Arabidopsis thaliana: one gene and its partner. The protein of the gene in region 1 interacts with the protein of each later gene in a pairwise test. Each region holds a gene or a part of one and is shown on either strand. Other genes may lie near its edges.

Evidence for each region. Proteins that work in one complex are often made in the same cells at the same time.
Region 2: the proteins of SHH2 (region 1) and AT3G22220 interact in a two-hybrid assay, tested with the Arabidopsis thaliana proteins (one large-scale study listed by BioGRID).

What each region holds. Positions count from the first base shown.
Region 1 is NC_003074.8:6,310,176-6,315,075, reverse strand, and holds SHH2 (DNA-BINDING TRANSCRIPTION FACTOR 2), read left to right. Parts: upstream 1-1,669; 5' UTR 1,670-1,894; coding exon 1,895-1,948; intron 1,949-2,300; coding exon 2,301-2,386; intron 2,387-2,482; coding exon 2,483-2,528; intron 2,529-2,627; coding exon 2,628-2,829; intron 2,830-2,994; coding exon 2,995-3,070; intron 3,071-3,186; coding exon 3,187-3,238; intron 3,239-3,321; coding exon 3,322-3,465; intron 3,466-3,549; coding exon 3,550-3,669; intron 3,670-3,804; coding exon 3,805-4,074; 3' UTR 4,075-4,357; downstream 4,358-4,900. Other genes in the region: EMB1865 (CRS1 / YhbY (CRM) domain-containing protein), read right to left, coding at 1-179, 584-1,504; ATSYTF (C2 domain-containing protein), read right to left, coding at 4,820-4,900.
Region 2 is NC_003074.8:7,838,984-7,844,403, forward strand, and holds AT3G22220 (hAT transposon superfamily), read right to left. Parts: upstream 3,892-5,420; 5' UTR 3,616-3,891; exon of another isoform or gene 3,377-3,615; 5' UTR 3,376-3,376; coding exon 1,569-3,375; intron 1,484-1,568; coding exon 1,279-1,483; intron 1,190-1,278; coding exon 996-1,189; intron 905-995; coding exon 825-904; 3' UTR 521-824; downstream 1-520. Other genes in the region: AT3G22210 (uncharacterized protein), read right to left, coding at 152-265, 353-448; AT3G22230 (Ribosomal L27e protein family), read right to left, coding at 5,153-5,420.

The sequences.
Region 1 (4,900 bases):
CTTTGGTTATCTTTGGCATTTGTTGCTTCATCGCCAGCAGAAGATACATCTGGGACAAAAAGAGTCTCTTTAGGACCGGCCATTTGATTAGAGATCACAGGAGGTCCTTTATAGTCAAGTCCACGATAAACCACCATTACACTTCCGGCCCTCCATATCACCATTCCACCAGTTCGACGCTGCCCATTAGAGTAATTCAATCAGTTTTTTTTTAAACCTAAAGTTAAGACATGCATCTCCTGCACAGTCTTGTTACTCAAAGAATTCTAACAGCATGCTCAGCTCCATCCACTCTAGTTAATCAACACCTCAAATTCACCTTATTCACAACTATATAATCGTTCCCAAGAAAGATCTAACGTTTTTCACAAATTTCCTACTGTTATTATAAAAGCTTTATAACCATTCTATTTCAGAGCTTAGGTACTTCAGAGTCTCTTACTATCCTATAAAGATCATGTCACTTCCGCAAAGCTTATCCCCAATAGATAATGAAAACCGCTCTCTCTTGGAATAATCTCGCACCTCAAATTTCGCTAACCTACTGTTCTAATCAATGAAGTATTCAAGAGAACTAACGAACCTCAACAATCTCATGGGCCGTCTTCATGTCACGAGCAAGCACTTCGTGGAACTTTAGCCTCACAAGCTCTTCTTTCCTCCAAGTATCATAAATCTTCTCCATCACTGCCTGCGTTAGCCCAGCTTTTGGTATATTGATCCTAACCCTCAGATACATTCCATCCCTCCTTAACCGCCGTAACTCAGAATCCTCAACGGTGAGCTCCGCCAGTGATGGAGCTCTAGCTCTCCTCTTCTGCATCACCGCCACTCCTCCTTCTCCTACTACTCTCTCCGCCGCCTGCTCTTCCTCATTTTTCTCCCATGGCAATAATACCTCATCCTCTTCCTCACTCTCTTCTCCCTCAGCAAGCATCATATCAGGTCTCACCCACTCTCTCTTCAACAAATCCCCCAATCTCTCTTCTCCAGTCACCGGCTTCACATCTCCGCCGTTAATTCCACCTCCCTCGTCATCTTCCACATCGTCCTCATCATCCGAACCTAATCCTAAATTCCGTAGCCGAAGAACAATCCTCTCAATCGCGTTTTGTCCTTTATCCTTCTCCAAATACCGAAGTTTCGCTTCCGCTTCCTCCTCCGCAGACCGAATTCTATCTCCGCCGTTGTTTTCACCACCTTTCTTCCCGGCATGATCACCGCCAGCTCCGGAGGATGACGGAGGCCACTTATCTATCCAAGGAGGAGTAGGTTTATGATTACGTTGATCTAATCGACGATTGTTATTGCTCCTGTTGTTGCTACGCTCGCTTGTACGCAGCGAAGAGAATGGCCGAACAATTTGTTGACGCGAGGGTTTCACACCCAACGAATAGAAGAGCAATGCGTGAAGCGAAGGAGAGGAACAATAGCGAGAGCTAGAGGTCAGAGGAAGAGAGCTTCTCAGTGGCATTTCCGTAAAATTAAGTGGAGCCAAAGCCATTGACGACACTAAGAAATTTTTTTGGAAAAAAAAGCTTCAGCGAAGTGTCTTCTTCGCCATCGTTTTGGATACTGAGAAATAAGTTTCAGGCGGATAAGCTGGATTTACTCGACCATACGGATAAGATTTTTGTATCGGTTTTAGGAAAATGGGCCTTTAATGGGTTTTAAAAGCCCATTACTACATGTTAAGTTTAAAAAAATTACACAGGTGAAAAGTTATATAAGCGACGGAGTCGGGTCTGAGTAAAACCGGTTTCGTTGTCGTTGGGTCACCGGCCGTACTAGAGAGATTCACCGTGAATTCGAATATTAAGTGAGAGAAGCTCCGATTGATTTCACTTTCTGCCGCCAATTTTTGTTTTTTCTTCGGTGAGACGAAGAAGATACCATGGGTCGACCTCCCAGTAATGGCGGTCCGGCGTTTCGATTTATCCTGCCTGAGGTTTATCTCGATTCTTTGTAATGTGTTGCTTTCACGGATTTTGAGCTCCCAGAGCTGAAAAATCTGATTTTTGTGTCGGTTTTGTTCCTTAGGATTTAGGTCTTCTTTTTGGGTTCATGATAGGGTTTAGATCCTGAAGTCCAATTGAATTTTTGTAATTAGCTAGTAGAAACTTGAAGACAATTCGATGTATGTTCTGAAATCCATTGGCTTTACTTTATTAAGTAATGTTTAAGAGTTTAGATTTGATAATACATAAGTTTTTCTATCTATCTGTTGTTCTATGGTTTTGTGACTTCTTTTGAAGAGGTTTTATCTTGTTTGTTATAGCTAATCTTCAATTGTTATGAAGGTAACGGAGATGGAAGCAATTTTGCTACAGCATAATACAGCAATGCCAGGTCGACATATTCTTGAAGCTCTTGCTGATAAGTTTAGGTATTTTACTTGTTGTTGCTCAATTCCTTGGCCTGAAAGTGATTTTGTGTCTTTATCATCTAAAATGTGGTTACTTTTTGTTATCTGTTGTCTCAGTGAATCACCTGAGCGGAAGGGGAAAGTTGTTGTGCAGTTCAAGCAAGTACTGGCTTTTTCCTTCTTGATTCTTAAGTTTTATCAGACAGAGTCTGTTGGGTTTGCTTTTAAAAGTTAATGGGAATGTTGTTTTAATGCATCACAGATCTGGAACTGGTTTCAAAATAGGCGATATGCTTTACGAGCAAGGGGAAACAAAGCTCCTGGGAAGCTAAATGTATCTTCCATGCCGCGTATGGATTTACCAAATCAGATGAGAAGTGTGATTCAACCATTATCAGTTCCTAAAACCACTCATATGACTGGAAATTTACCCGGCATGACGCCTGCCCCTTCTGGTAGTTTAGGTGCTTTATTTATTCTACTCTCAGTAAAATAGGTTGAGAAGGTTATTTATTGGAATAGGTTTCATTGGTTTTTTCAGTTTTAGTTTTTTCTCCATAAGTCTAGATCAGTATGGCTGATATTGCACAGATGCCATTTTCGTAACTGTTTACTGCTTTTCCTCATAGTTCCCGGTGTCATGAGGAGTGGTTCAGACAACTCTTACTTGGAATTTGAAGCCAAATCTGCCAGGGATGGTGCATGGTGATTCCCTTGCATTCAATCTTCAGTATTTTTTTTGCTGACTTATGATACTTTGTAACAATATCATTACATTCCACTGGTTTTCTCTGATATGTAACTCTCTTGCTTACTTACAGGTATGATGTGCAAGCTTTCCTAGCTCATAGAAACTTGGAGATTGGTGATCCGGTAATTCCTAACCAACCTCTTGTTGACTTATTTGTTCCCCTTTTTTGTTTTGCTAACAACAATCTTTCTGTTGGGTATTTCAGGAAGTGCAGGTTCGATTTGCGGGTTTCGAAGTTGAAGAAGATGAATGGATAAATGTCAAAAAGCATGTAAGACAACGGTCTCTCCCATGTGAAGCATCAGAATGTGTTGCAGTTCTTGCTGGAGATCTCGTCCTTTGTTTCCAGGTTTAGAACTTCGCTCTCTAAGCATTTAGTGATAGGTGTCATGTTAGTTTATCCCTGACTAGAACTATGTTATAACATCTTCAGGAAGGAAAAGATCAAGCTCTTTACTTTGACGCCATTGTTCTTGACGCACAGAGAAGAAGACATGATGTCAGAGGTTGTCGTTGTAGGTTCTTGGTGCGTTACAGCCACGACCAGTCCGAGGTTGGACGATCATCTCTCTCTCTCTCTCTCTATCCCTTGCGGTTTTATTTACCCGTCAGCTCCATTTCATGGTTTAGACCATAAAGCAAAACCCTCCTCACTCACCTATTTTGGATTTCTTTTCCGTTATCCCAGCAGGAAATCGTTCCCTTGAGGAAGATTTGTCGGCGGCCCGAGACAGATTACAGGCTACAACAACTTCACAACGCCGTAAACGATTTGGCTAACTCAAATCAGCATCAGATACCCGCTCTAGATGCGGCTGCAAAAACCCCTCTGTCACTACCCGGAGCTACAGTTCCCATTGTTGCACCCGAGTCAAAAGATCCGAGCCTGAGTGCCACTCCAGCCACTTTGGTTCAGCCTAGCTCCAATGCAGCTACTGTTCCCGCTGGTTCAGCCTAGGCCATGTAATTTCTATCCCCGTTTGTAACAGCCATTTTTCACAGTTACTAGTAGAGGTTAACTTGGGATCATATGCATTGTACTCTCACACAATGAATTAGTCATCTAAAGCTGTATCATGCCATGTTACTTGATCCTTCATGTATGATGGAATATTTATGGTTTAGTCCGGTTTATTCATCATCTGTTGATGGTCACCGGTTTTTTACTCTTTTGAACAAACATGCTCGAATCATGTGGATTTATTCTTTTCAAGGCTTAAGTTTACAAGTTAGGAATCTTACCTCGAGTCATTTAGCTTTACAACATTTGTGGGGATGAGAAATTAACCAATTATTAATCTGAAAAATATCTCACTGTGCTGAGGAGACTAGATAACACTTGAGGTCAAAAGAACTATTTTGCTTCTGTAAATGACTGATCAGCCTAGACACAGAACAACAGTTTTACAAACAATTACAACAGTTTTTATTGTTACAGAATAACAAAGGGAATAATAAGAAACTTACAGATTTGATATGTTACATATCATATGTATCTAACTTTGTAACAAGGGCTCAACTCTCTCTGAACATTTTATCCAATGCCCCTACATATCTATCTATATACATCATAGATGATTGTTTGATCGGGAAAAACAAGTGACTACATTGGTGCGGGTAATCTCCGGTTATAGGAGGATCCTGTCCCCGAACCCGAGCCTGATCGAGATGGGGAATGAGACGGGGCTTGAACTGGGGACGAGTTAAGAATCTCGAGACGGGGCTTGAGCTGGGGATGAGTTAAGAATCTCCTTACCAAGGTCTTTGATCTTGTTGATAAGCAG
Region 2 (5,420 bases), 1.5 Mb from region 1:
ACAATAATGGGACAACATCTGACGATGTGATCAAGATCATCTACTAAACCAAAAATGCAGCCATAGTTAACAATAACCAAACTCTTTTGAATTGTTTATTTGTACGAACATTGAAAAGCAAAACGATCATGGATCATGGTGATTTTTGGAATCAAGATTTAGGACGTTTTTTGTTTGCTTCTCTCTTTGATCTTCTCTCCCTTGAACTTAGAGAAGTCTTGAACCCAACTTCGTTCTCCGAGTCGTACACATCTTTAAACGATTTCTGCACACACACACTTGATTTTTTCTTAAAATTATATGTAAAAGATCAAAAATGTTGAGAATAAGGAGTAGTTTCATAACAGTGAACCTCTCTGATCTCGGCAAAGCTAACGGCATAGAATGTTACGACCGAGACTGCGACGATTCCAAGAACAGGGAGTGCGATATGGCTTATCCCTTCCATTTTCTTCTCTTCTTCTCAGAACCAAACTTTCAGGATAAGGCTCTTGAGGATAATAATATCTCTTTATATAGATAGCATCTGAATTCAACTCTTTTTTTTCACTTATCCTTTTAAAGAATCAAGATTAGCTTATGTCCAAACAATATTATATGGACAAGAGAGAAAGCTTTAGTAAATATCAATCAACATCTCTAAAATGGTTTTTGTTCTCATTACTGAGTAAAGAAGAAGAAGAGGAAGAAGAAGAAGAAGAGTAACTATTAGTTTCTGGGATACAACTTAAAGCTGGTAAAGACTTCTATTAATAATACAAATCAAACCCTAAGAAAGAATCACAAAATCAAACCCTATGATGATTACAGGAAAAGGTGCAAGTTCAAGTGAACAGATTCTCCGAATAACCGCCTTCGTAACTCGCTTCCTTTTCCCCTTTGAATATCTCAGCATCATCGAAACCTGTTACGCATTTCATTCAAAACACCTTTTAAACAACTTCTCTCATGTTTGTCAAGATATTCACAAAAACTAGGTTCTGCAAAGCTTTTACCTGACCCCAAGTCTTCTGTTTCGTCGATAACAACAGCTACTTCTTCTGACCTCTTAATGAACTCGAGTGACTTCCAGTCTGAGCTTCCATTTCCTTCTATACAAACTTGGTTTCTCGAAACCCAGTCTTCAAGAACTTCCATGTTGCTGTGTGATAACGGGTCTACCGTGTCATCTCCGCTGCTTTCGCTGCCACTAGAGGAAACAGACAGAGAATCCTTTTAAGTTCTGTTTTGAACAAAAGACAGTATAGTAATCAAGAAGATCAAAAGATTCCAACTTACATTCGTCTGAGGCGCATGTTGTACTGAACAAATACAAGATCGTTGAGCCGTTGTCGCTCAATAGAGTTCTTTGATTCATATATTTGCGAGATTGATGTCAGGTTTCTCACTGAGCCAATAGATGAGCTGCATGTCTGACTCAGAATACGTATCGCAAAACGTGACAGGTTCAAGCAGCTTTCTCCATATGTAGACCACCATTCAGCTACAGGAATCAAACATGTTTTAACTACTTACAAAACACTTGAACATATGAAATCTTTTTGAGATTCAATTAATAAATGGCGTACCTGGAAGCATTGTGTCACGAGCTCTGATAGCTAAGTTCCTTCCGAAAATCCCAACAGCATTCTTGTATGAGTTTATGTCCTTAATGACAATATCTTGAATGTTGACATCAGGGACTAATTTCTCTATGCAATCAACAACCGCTAAATGGATCTCACTACGCATTTCTTCGTCGATGCTATAGAAGAACTTTGGGTTCAAATAGAAACCAGCAGCATACAAAGGTTGCTGCAACCACCACCTATCTATAATTTTCCAGTACACTATGTACTCCTCCCTGTGAGCCAGATTTGTCTTAATTGCTTCTTTTGCTCGATACATTGCTGCATAGACATACCCCATTGCAGGCTTCCTTTCAGAACAAACTATCCTCAAAACACGCAAAATCGGAGCAGTTATATGGTTCGCCAATGTTAATGCCTTCCAGAAGTCCTCATCATTGATAGTCTCAGTCATTGCTAATCCACCTGCTTCCTTCGAATACGAACAATCATTCCACTCGGATGATGTAACCATTGCTTGCAAATAAGGTTTTAGATCAGCAATTCTTCCCATTGTTGTAAAATTTGTAGCGGAACTGGTACAGACTGGTTGCACAATATCATTGCCAAAAGTGAATTTCCTCATCAGATTCAAAACACCACTGTGATTGTAAATAATTCTTGTAACAGTTCGAGCTTGTTCGATAATCTCTCTTATCCAATCCATCTTCCCAAACTCTTCAAGCATCTTGTCTATGCAATGTGCAGCACAAGGAACCCAGTATAGAGAAGGATACACATCCATCAACTTTTTCCCAGCAGCTGCGTAATGATCTTCACATTTGGTAATAACTTGAACAACATTAGTATCACCTATCTCTTCAACTACCTCCTTAAGTAACTCATACAACTTATCCTCAGAATCTAATATCTCTGATGCATCAACTGATTTCAGAAACACTACTTTCTCAGGACAGTAAACCAAAAACTTAAGGATCAAAGGTCCTTCGTTGGAGTTCAGTTCCTGAACTAAAACAGAACATCCTGTTCTCTTCCATAGAGTTTTGCACTCATCAATCTCTTTCTTCACTTCCTCTACACAACTCTTCAAAATCCAACCTCTGAGGTCTTCATGTGTAGGAATAGAAACACCAAATCCTCCAGAAACAATCGCATCGATAAACGGTTGAACATTGACAGAATTCGCCGCATCGAAATCAGCTCCAATATCAAACAGAAACCGTCCCATAGCCATATGAACTGTTTTCTCCCGCTCTTTCGAAGTAGGATGCACAATGTTCTTCACGCTACTAATAGCCACAGGAATCAAATTGTCCATATCTCGATCAACCTCAACATTAGCCAAATCATTCCTCTCAAAAGCATTATTCTTTCTACTCCTATAAGTCCTCTGCTTCGTCCTCCCAGTACTTTGACCCACTACGACATCCGAACTCGGCGATTTAAACCCGTTATTCACATCAGAAGAAGCAGCAACCTGAGTCTCAACTTCACAAGGAGGGAAATAAGCTATAGGCAATGGTTCAGGACTTGATTTACGTCTCTTCCTCTGACGTCTCACCGTACCATCAATACACTGCTGCAAGAAAAGACGAACCTCATCAGGAACTTGATCACAGATAGTGCCTTGTCCTTTCTTGCCAGCAAGATGTTCCTTAACCCTTGTAATACCACCTCCTTTAAACATCTTTCGACAGTAAAGACATCTCATCTGAACTCGATCTCCATATTTGTAAACTTCACAGTGTTTCCACGCACTGTCTTGTTTCTGTGGTGTTAGAGCTACAGGTTCCAAATCTGAATCCATCCTACAAAACCCTAGATCCTTCAATTAAACATTTACGAGATCAAACTTAGAAGAAGAATTCATCAGCTTTCATAAAAAAGCTCACAACTTTCGTAACAAAGATGTTAACTTTTCGTTGATTAGATAAAAATCGGATCATATTGAATCAAACCCGTCAAAGAAAAGCGAAATTCTAAAACCCAGTGCAGCAAAATCGTAAATTTCAGAGTTTTTGAATTATCGAAAGAACAGAGAACGAACCTTTTTTGGTTTGCAGGTTTGTGACCGGGTTGGTTACGGCAAGAAATCGGTTCGGTAAAAAACTTGATAAAATTACGGTATAAGGACTTCGGTTTTGGGGATGAAGAAGGTGGAATCGACCGGAGAAGAAGAGATTAAGGAACGCTGGAGAAGAATCTGAAGGCGACGGAGGAATGCAATGTCGGAGAAATTTTTGAGATGACCCGGCTCGTTAGGGTTCGAGAGGAGAAGAAGTTGGGCAGCTTTTCTGGTTTATAAAAACGACAAATTTTGTTTATTTTTTATTTTTTTTGTCTTGTTTTGGCTTAAACTTGTTTTTGTGGTTAAATCGGTTTTTAATTTAAGGACTAAAGTGATTATTTGTATAAAGTATAAGGTCTGATATGATGATAAGTGACTTCATGTGGGGTATCTTTTAATTTGTCTTTTCAAAGATAGAAATGATTTTGGGTCAAAAATATTGGATGAGATTGTAGAATCTAGAGATAATTATTGTTTTTCAAAGTCTTATCATAAATTAATTAAGGTAAAGTTGAATGATAAATTAAAAAGCAAAATGTGTTAATACTTCAAGAACATTTGTTATACTTCAAGACCAATCACAAGTGCTGACTCACATTACAATGATTGTTATGTTTTACTAGATTTGCTTCGGTATTAGTGTGAGGATGTGTTTTGTCAAAAAAAGCTTAGAACATGAACGGAGTTTAAAGAATACGGTTGAAGCAAGGGCTTGCATTGTTGCGTTCTATATCTCTGAAATTCGTTTATGTTTGCTAAACAGAAACCACAATGTGCATGTATAATAGATTATCAAAATGTTGAGAGACCTTGTTCTGTGATTCTTTCATTGTGATATTTTGTACAATGTTAGTTTCATTTTAAGAGTCACAAGTATTTGTACACAAATCAAAAATTTCACATAATAGTTTTCAATCTCGTATATTGCAACAGGTCTCTATGACTGAACAAGGAAAAAATCAACTAACACAAAGGCTATACAATACATGGCCACTCACACAATCGTAACAATCTCCTAACTTTTCAATCTAAACAGCAAGGTTAAAGAAAGATTCGACACCTATCTCGTTAAAAGTTAAAACACTCTATTTATAACACCATAACATCAACACGAAATCAAGTAATCAACAGTGACAACTCAAACATGCATCTAAGACTCTCTATATGCTCCTACAAGTAAAGAAAAGAGACTACAATGGCTCTAGGACTGACTACAATGGCTACAGGGAAAATGATTTGACAGAGAAACCCATTTCAATACTACTCCAACATCTCGAAATTGGAAACCAGAAGTGACCATCTTCAATAACCTTAAACAACATTTCCACAATGTAATCAATTCAGCTATTAAACCAGTGACAATATATAAAATGAGGCATCAATATAGCAAAAGATTATAAGTAAGAGACAAAATCCAGAATCAATTCCAAACCAAAAGGTCTTAAACAATGATCCAAATTCATTCTAGAACTAAACAAAAAGTAGATAGATAGATAAAAATCTCAAAGGTTCTTCTTCAGAACCTGAGCTTAGTAAAGAACCACCTGTTCTTCCCAGTCTTGAAACGTTCCTCAAGCTTAGCCTTAGCTTCCTTTAAAGCAGTCACCTTCTTATCCTTACTCTTAAGAGCATCAAGAGTCGCTACTTCCTTCAGATCTACATCGAGCGTGTAACGTGTAGGCATCAGATGCTGGTAATTCACGAGCTTGATGAAACATTTCACTCTTGATTTCTTCGCCGTCTTCTTCGCTGAGTCTTTGCGGATGACTTTGCTCGGGTACTTC